2 linked regions of the Yarrowia lipolytica genome follow. The protein of the gene in region 1 interacts with the protein of each later gene in a pairwise test. Links are inferred from orthologs where the notes say so. Each region holds a gene or a part of one and is shown on either strand. Other genes may lie near its edges. The genes, in order: YALI1_F28453g and YALI1_C10730g.

Region 1 (3,732 bases):
GTTTGGTTCCGCCGCTACTGCGATTTCCATGAGTGTGGTTGTTCTGCTGCTGTTCTAGAAAGACTACAACAAAAACTCAAGACTGAAAGGTTTTATTTATTTATAGACTAATGCATGATATTATGGTAACTGCGATATAGTACAAGTACATTACTGTACTTAAATTGGGGTATATTGTACAGATATTGTATTTGGTGAGGTTCCCTCTCCCATAAAGAGAACTGTTCTACCCGACAGACACTTCCCTACACGTACTGGTATTTGGTTAGGGGCATAGTATGAGAACCGGTAGATTTACTGTCAAATTTCTCGTGAGTCAATACTTTAACCCGACATAATACCTGTTCATGGCTAATGAGAGCGGTTCACATCAACTTGCTATACCAAGTGGTGATGATTACTCAGCGTCATAGTACATACTGTAGTTTGTAGTGAAAATGGAGCGTTGTTGACTATTCATGAGATACAATGACCCCTATTCTGTAGCATCCACAGGCAACTCTTGTCACTGATGAGCGCCAACACAGACCTCACAACCCTACACCATTCCACTGTACACTACATACTCGTATGTACATACTGTACATACTCGACACATTACTACACAACACAACATCTCTCTGATCCTCCATAATTAACCAAATATACATTTCTATATCCTTGCAGTCCAATTAAACCACAAGAATGCAAGCGTGCGCCTGCAAATGAAGCCAGCGAGTTGTTGCCGAATCAGATTGAAGCCTTGTTAAGTCTGTATGACTGTCGAAAAGTGTTTGTCGATCTGTGAAAGCGTTCGATCCTCGCTGTGCTTGCAGTTCCCTTACAAATGGAACTTCTTCTTATCCTTATCCATGGCCGATCGATGCTCCCATTCCACCTCTCCTCGAATGCCTCTCTGAAGACGTCTGAGTCTCAGGGTGAACTGAGGACCCAATTCCTGCAGACCCACTCGCTCCTCATTCTTGAACACGTATCTGTGTCTTCGGAAGAAGATCCAGTCTCGCTGGTTATGCAGAGTCACCACCTGACGTCCCACAAACTCCGGTTGCTGAGGAAACATGGATTGGAACAGCCGTCCGACAGTCTTACCCAGTCGCGTGGAAAAGTTGTTGAGAATCAGCTCGGGAATGTGGGTTGTTGATCGGCCGTGGCCCTTGATCTCCTTAGGCATCTTCAAAGATGACACGGAGAAGTACATGGTGGGGCCCTCGGGCAGATGAATAAAGGTCAGGCCGTTCACCTTCTTTTTGTCCTCGTTGATCACCACCAGATCAGTGTAGTCTCTCTCGGCGCACATCTTGGCAATCTGCGTCATTGTGAAGTCTCCCACTCGCTTTTTGAACTCGGAGCCGGGGATAATGTCGTACAAAAGGTCTGCAAAGTCGTAGGCCTGTCCTCGAGCTCGCTTAGAGGTAGTGATCAGTACCTTGGGGGGCTTTCCCTCCTCAAAGTACTCTTTGAACTCATCCTCTCCCTCCATCTCCTGAGCGATGGTCTCATCATAGACTCGCTTGGCCTCGATGGTGTCAGGCACGTTCTCAGCCAGACGTTTCTCTTTGAGCTCGGGGTTCTTGGCCTCCTCCTTGGCTCGTTCCCTTCGCATCTCGTGTCGCTCCTTATTGAGCTTGTGCTTCATTTCCGCGAACACCTTCTTTCGCTTCTCCTTGTTGGCGATCCGAATATCTCGCTTTACCGTTCCCATCGTGTCTTGTAGTGTGCTATGGTGTCCGATTCTCTGCAAAACAAATTTCTTGAAAATATTGGAGATAAAAAAATCCTGCATGAACTTTATGCAGGTGGACAGAGAAGGCAGATTGAGCATACGGAGGGTAGAATGGGGGTTGTGGGGGTGAATGAAGTAATGTGGGTACTAAGATACGGAAATGACTAGAAAACCTTTGAAAGAAGCTACCATTATTCACATACCCCCACGTGGCAGCTATACCAGGACTATTTTATGCTTACTCTCTCCGCCATGTTCATTCAGAATAGGATGTGAAAATGGGACGTGAATTGAACTGGCGTTGGAGCATGTTTAAGCAAGTTTAAATAACTGTTTAGTGTAGTCTGCCTTCTCACTCTCAAATGGCTATACCAGTACTCTGAACGAAGGGGTTGTCTTGCCGCGTGAATCTTTGATATGTCTTGTGCTCATCCTGCTTGACAAGATGGACAAATAACTGAACGATACGAAGCTATTGGTGAAGTTCCTGGGAATGGAGGTTCCACCGTCTCATAACTGTTGGGGCCGAGTTATATGTCAATGGGAGAAAGGGAGGGATTGATATATTGATATATATTAAAAGCACTGGAGGAGTTTCGGAATCGTGGAGCCTCGTTGATTCCTTTTCACTTGGGGACATTGACAGCTGGGAGGGACTTACAGTAGTATGTGTCCCATCCAGCTGAGACCAGACAAGTTTCGAAATCAACTAAGGGCTCAAGTAGTTGGTTTGCACACAGACGGAGAGCAGACACAAAGAAAAGCGGCTCACTGTGTGCTCTATGTTAGTGCGACTGGTTTCATTGAAAAAATTACATGCATGAAAAATGAGACGCGTAAAATCATTTCAATCCATCAGACGCGAAGCCTGTGGGCGCGGTCAAGGATAGGTACATACTGTAGCTACAAGAAGTACCCCGACAGGCGTAGGAGCACAGCATTGGGTTGCACAGCATTGGATTGCATGGGCGTTGGATTGGCGTGTCTGCTAAGGCCCATAGTGCAAGAACCAGACATAAAAATAGACAGAAACAGCTATCCGAGATGTTAGAAAGTTCATCAGAACACACGAAGCTTGCTACGGATGTGAAAGATCTCATACAGGAGGTTTGGAGTCTCTCATCCTCCGTGGGGTTAGGGTAAACCAAAACAGGCAAATGAATCAGTTGATCGAGTGAACTCATACAATGTGTTGTGTCTTGAGGGGTTCTCATACGTTATAAACAATAGCTGGAAAAAAAGAAGTTTTGAATAAGCCCATTACCGGTTCTCACTTTCAGTCTCCTGTTTTGGTCACTAGACATTCACAACCCCATCGATCTACGAATACCTCATACTGAAATCAAGGTTTCAAATTTCACCATTTGGGACGGAGGCCAGACTGTGCTGTAAATACTGTCACTTTAAAGCACTAGTACAGATACGTCGTTATCACCACCCACAACACACCATGGCTATCTTGGAAGAAATCGACGATGTGGACAACATGGACTTTGATCCCGCGGAGTTCGATCCCCGGGCGGTTCTCACCGACGCCACCGCGCATCAGGAGAGTGACGGGCGAGGTCCCATCAACCTGATTTCCAAGGCTGAGCACGAGCGACGAGAACAAGCCAAAAAACAACAGGAGCAACAGCAGGAGCAACAGCAACAGGCCAACCCCATGGCCCAACTTCAGCAGATGATGGACCAGATGAACCAGGGCGGAGGTATGCCCCCCAACATGGGCCAGCAGGGCAAGCCCGGTACACAGGTGTTTGACTCGGAGGAGTTCAAGAACCAGGAGATCCAGGAGTCCGACTTTAAGGACTGGCAAATAGTCTACCCGGTCTACTTTGACAAGAACAAGACTGTGGGCGAGGGCCGACGAGTGCCTCTGGAGCTGGCTGTGGAGAACCCTCTGGGCCAGACCATCGCCGAAGCCTGCAAGATGCTCACCCTGCCTTCAATCTACGAGGCGCACAAGACTCACCCCAAGGACTGGGCTAATCCCGGTCGAGTTCGAGTGC
Region 2 (4,332 bases), on another chromosome or scaffold:
TCATCTGGTGATCTCCGTTCAGGTGAGAATAGTCCTCTCAAACCGTCCATGAGTGTTCGGAAGCTGCGAACCGGTCTTCGAAACGGCTCAGATTCCCCCGGACGGGAAGTTTCGCCTGTTCGAGCTGATAATCCGTCCATTGAGCGATCGTCGTCGCTGATCAGAGGCTCGGACTTTACTTTGCACGGTAAAAAGTTTTCTGTTGTCGAGGTCAATCCCCAATTTGCCGCCACTCCCCACCATAAGAGAACCACCAGCAGGAGTGAGCGCAAGGAGGAGAAGAAGGGGGAGAGTGAGCCCTAGGGCTGACAAAACAATAGCATTATTTATTGAATTAAAATGATTTATGAACTTGTAGTATCGTAGATGCCAGGACAAGATGTATACAGTTTAGCACAACATAGACGTACCTACTAGGGAGAAGCTGTGACTTGTAACTTGAATTGAAATGTTCACAGACTGCGGCTACACACTTATAATTACAGATCCAATCACTTGGGCTTCGCCCGAGTTCGTTCACCTAAGAATAAATTAATAATATACAACAGTGGATTACCTCTGTCCCTCCTTCTTTCTCTGGAAATGCAGGTCCGTCCGGCTGCCTCCGACGTTGATGATCTTCGGACAGCCATCTCTGTCCTTTTCCAGTCGTGTGCATTCAAAGCAGTAATAAGCGTCCGCCACCGCCTGTGTTAGTATGGTAAGCGAAAGTAATGAGAAAAAATCCTTAAGAACGCGATATAGTCACTTCACAGTTGATCTCGAGGGTCCAAGAATCATTCACGAGCTTTTGGTGTTCATTGACCACATCGGAGCTTAGAAACCCTCCTCAGACACGTGTGTCTCATCTCCTCGGCGTCTCCATCTCACCGCACTCAATTCACGCCTTCAGCAAGTCTTCCGTGGGTGCCTTGAATGTACTCACATATCCGTCGCAAATAATACACCGATCCTCCAACTTGCCAAAACTGCACTCATCACAGACCTTGACCAAGGTGGTAGGTCGCACAAACGAGTCGCAGACAGGGCACTTGCCGTCGCACTTTTCACACAGACGGCCCACACGAGTGCCGCTCTGCTTCATGCACAGCACCAGATCGGGATGGTGTCTAGACATTGTGTGATTGTTCGTGTCAGAGTGATACCAAAAGTCGATGCCAGAAGTTTCACTATCGAACTTTATCAGAGCTCCCTAAGAAGGTGGCAAAGAAGACAGTACGACACTAGACGATGTGGAGCCTTTGAAAAGGAGGAAGATTTAGCAGGCTTGTTTATATAGCTTCGAATAGCCCCCAGTATCACTTCATGGTTGAAAGCTCTTCCACCGTGCATTCTGTAGAGTTACTATACATCTTCAAGTATTAGTTACACTCTATAGATGAGACTACCAAGTCTTTTCAACTAATAAAGACTACTGACTTGGTGATACATTTACCACCATTAATTCCATGATATCCAAAAAACAACAACTGCAGTCACATATTTCTCAGTAATGTGTATATACAACCACACCCAGTTCCCCTCCATCTACTACCTCTCTCTCCACAAGTGTAGAACGTCCCCTTCCCTTACCTTCCACCAATCACCTAGTGTTTGCATAATCCATGCAGAGAACGGAGATCACGTGACCAAAATGTATTACGAAAACGGCACGTTGCTAAAAGGTGCCCTATTTTTGGCTGGAGAGTGTTTTATTCAAGAACTGTGTTTGCTTACTAACTACTCTGGCCAACCACAAACGAGACAATTTAGGTTACTTTCTCTAAACTGCTCATAACCTGAAATAGAGTTTGAGAAATCTGCAAGAGCCAAAAAAATTAGAAAGATTGAAAGTCTGATCACGAATTTTTCAAGCATAACTACACATTCACAATGTCGGCGAGTGACGATGTGAGTATCGATGGAAAGATGGAAGCGCCCAAGGGAGGTTCTTTTGGGCTGGAAAGAAGTGCAACAGAGTGGAAAAGTGGAAAAATCCGGATCTATATGGCTTTTGGCAGGTACTTTACCGATCACTCAAGGCGGTTGTTAGACAGAGGAGGTGGTGGACGGATTTGTGACGAGATAAAGAAGGGGTGAAGCATTGGAAGAGCGATTTCGATGCTATTTTGAATGTTGGAGAAGAGCTATGTGTTTTCCTTGATGTGGAAACTGTACTACAGGCTACGTATGTGGTTGGTACGGCTGTACTGCTACACAGACCTCAGGAATGTGTGTATGCTTCTGTTGGAACTGTCCGCGATACTATGCTATCTGCAGACGCTAGAACATTCAAGCGTGCTCCAAATCTGCTTCAAATCAAATCTCAAACGTCCTTGTCGACCTCGTCCATTCTCCTAGTCTCCATCATGAACGCTGTCCATGAGACGTTCGGCAACACTGTGCCATCACCTGAAAGAAGACTCTATGAACATTTTTTCGAGCTGTTTCGGATTTTACCGTCTACAGTCTCTAAAGGTTCGGTCTGAGTCGGTCTGAGTCGGTCTGAGTCGGTCTGCGACCTGCTATAACTGAACCTGAGCTCTACAATATGCTTTCCGAGTGCGACTAAATCACAAGCTGAACCGAGATATCAGTTGAAACACTATAGATTATTGTCCACCGGCAGTTAGGCTGCCCACGACTGCTCGTTCCTACTAACACAGCTCATCTGGGAAATTCTAAACGACCAATTCTGCTCGTTCAAGCTGAAAACCGGCAAAGGCCAGGATTTCTGCAAGAACGAGTACAACGTTACCGGCATCTGCGAGCGCAAGTCTTGCCCTCTCGCCAACTCCAAATACGCCACCGTTCGACGGGTCAACGGCCGATTATACCTTTACATGAAGACTGCTGAGCGAGTGCACACCCCCAATAAGTGGTGGGAGCGGATCCGACTGTCCAAAAACTACAAGCGGGCCCTGGAGCAGATTGACGAGCATCTCATTTACTGGAATGAGTTCCTGGTTGACAAGTGCAAGCAGCGTCTGACTCGTCTCACCCAAGTGGCTGTTGCTGAGCGACGTATTGCCATGAAGGAGGAGGATACCCATTATGTTGGTGTGGCTCCCAAGGTGAAGCGACGAGAGGCTACCCGAGAGCGAAAGGCTCTGGCTGCTGCCAAGGTGGAAAAGGCCATTGAGAAGGAGCTGCTGGACCGTCTCAAGAGCGGAGCATACGGCGAGAACCCTCTCAACGTGGACGAAAAGGTGTGGAAGAAGGTGCTCGAGGGCGTCGAGGGAGCCAACAAGGAAGATGAGGACGAAGAGGAAGAGGAAGAGGAGGACGAAGAGGAAGAGGGTGGAGAGGTTGAATATGTCGAGGATGAGGAAGACGATGACGATCTTGTGGAGCTGGAGGACCTTGAAAAGTGGCTGGGTGGAAGCAGTGACGAGTCTGGAGACGAGACCGATGCCTCTGAGGACGAGACTGATACCGACTCCGAGGACGAGAAGCCTAAGAAGCGAAAGGCTGCTGCTGACGGTAAGAAGCCCAAGCCCAAGACCAAGAAGCGAAAGGGTCCCAGCGTGGAGGTCGAATACGAGGAGGACAATGGCGAGAAGGAAAAGCAAATGGTGGACTGGTAGATACACTGAGAAGGAGCATAGACGGAGGAAAAATGTAATGTATAGAAATACTGACTTGTTTGAGAGCGTTTGTAGTGGAAAGATGTCAGCTACTTCACTATCTTAAGGAGAGATAAACAGAACGTCTTTGCAGTCAGACATCAGAAGTATGGGTGATCTTTATTGCAGTACTTGTAATCATTGAATTTCTGTATGAAGTCTTGCTTGCTTGACCTATCTCTTCATGACAATGTGAATTGAAGCAATGATTGGGCTCCGATGTTAGGGAGAAACGTGCCTTCACTATTCCAAGTACAAAATTACTAAATAATGGTTGATACGAATAATCATAGGCTGCTATGGACTACGTTTAGAGGGAGATAAACGCCTTAAATAGAGGTCGAGCGACAGTAAATAGAGGTTGAGAGACAAGTCGTAGTACAAGTATCTAAGCAACAACGAGATATGTTTCTAGCTATATATATTTACTTGAGCTGGTGCTCCTTGTGCTCCTTGTCATCTCCGTAAGCTTTTGTGCCGTAGTGACCATTGATGCAGATAATGTCCTGGGGTCGATAATCCTGCTTTCCAGAAAAGAAAACCTCAAGGATCTTCTTGGTGCCCTCGGCATATCGGCCCTGGGCGTCGATGGAAGTTCCGGAGATATGAGGAGTCATGGCGTTTCCTCCCCCGTACTTGTTTCGCATGGTTCTCCAGGGGTGGTCCTTAGGGGCAGGCTGGGGGAACCAAACGTCTCCGCCGTAACCTCGGATCTTACCGGACTCGA

The links.
Region 2: the proteins of YALI1_F28453g (region 1) and YALI1_C10730g interact in binary tests that used the Saccharomyces cerevisiae proteins (3 or more experiments, as listed by UniProt). The link is inferred for Yarrowia lipolytica from reciprocal best matches to the Saccharomyces cerevisiae genes RPF1 and MAK16.

The regions. Positions count from the first base shown.
Region 1 is NC_090775.1:2,843,562-2,847,293, forward strand, and holds YALI1_F28453g (uncharacterized protein), read right to left. Parts: upstream 1,823-3,732; coding exon 821-1,822; downstream 1-820. Other genes in the region: YALI1_F28393g (uncharacterized protein), read left to right, coding at 1-58; YALI1_F28459g (uncharacterized protein), read left to right, coding at 2,391-2,774; YALI1_F28467g (uncharacterized protein), read left to right, coding at 3,174-3,732. UniProt on the Saccharomyces cerevisiae protein: Essential protein. Required for biogenesis of the 60S ribosomal subunit.
Region 2 is NC_090772.1:1,071,154-1,075,485, forward strand, and holds YALI1_C10730g (66S preribosome component MAK16), read left to right. Parts: upstream 1-1,872; coding exon 1,873-1,890; intron 1,891-2,645; coding exon 2,646-3,566; downstream 3,567-4,332. Other genes in the region: YALI1_C10675g (uncharacterized protein), read left to right, coding at 1-303; YALI1_C10718g (uncharacterized protein), read right to left, coding at 553-687, 926-1,117; YALI1_C10762g (uncharacterized protein), read right to left, coding at 4,031-4,332.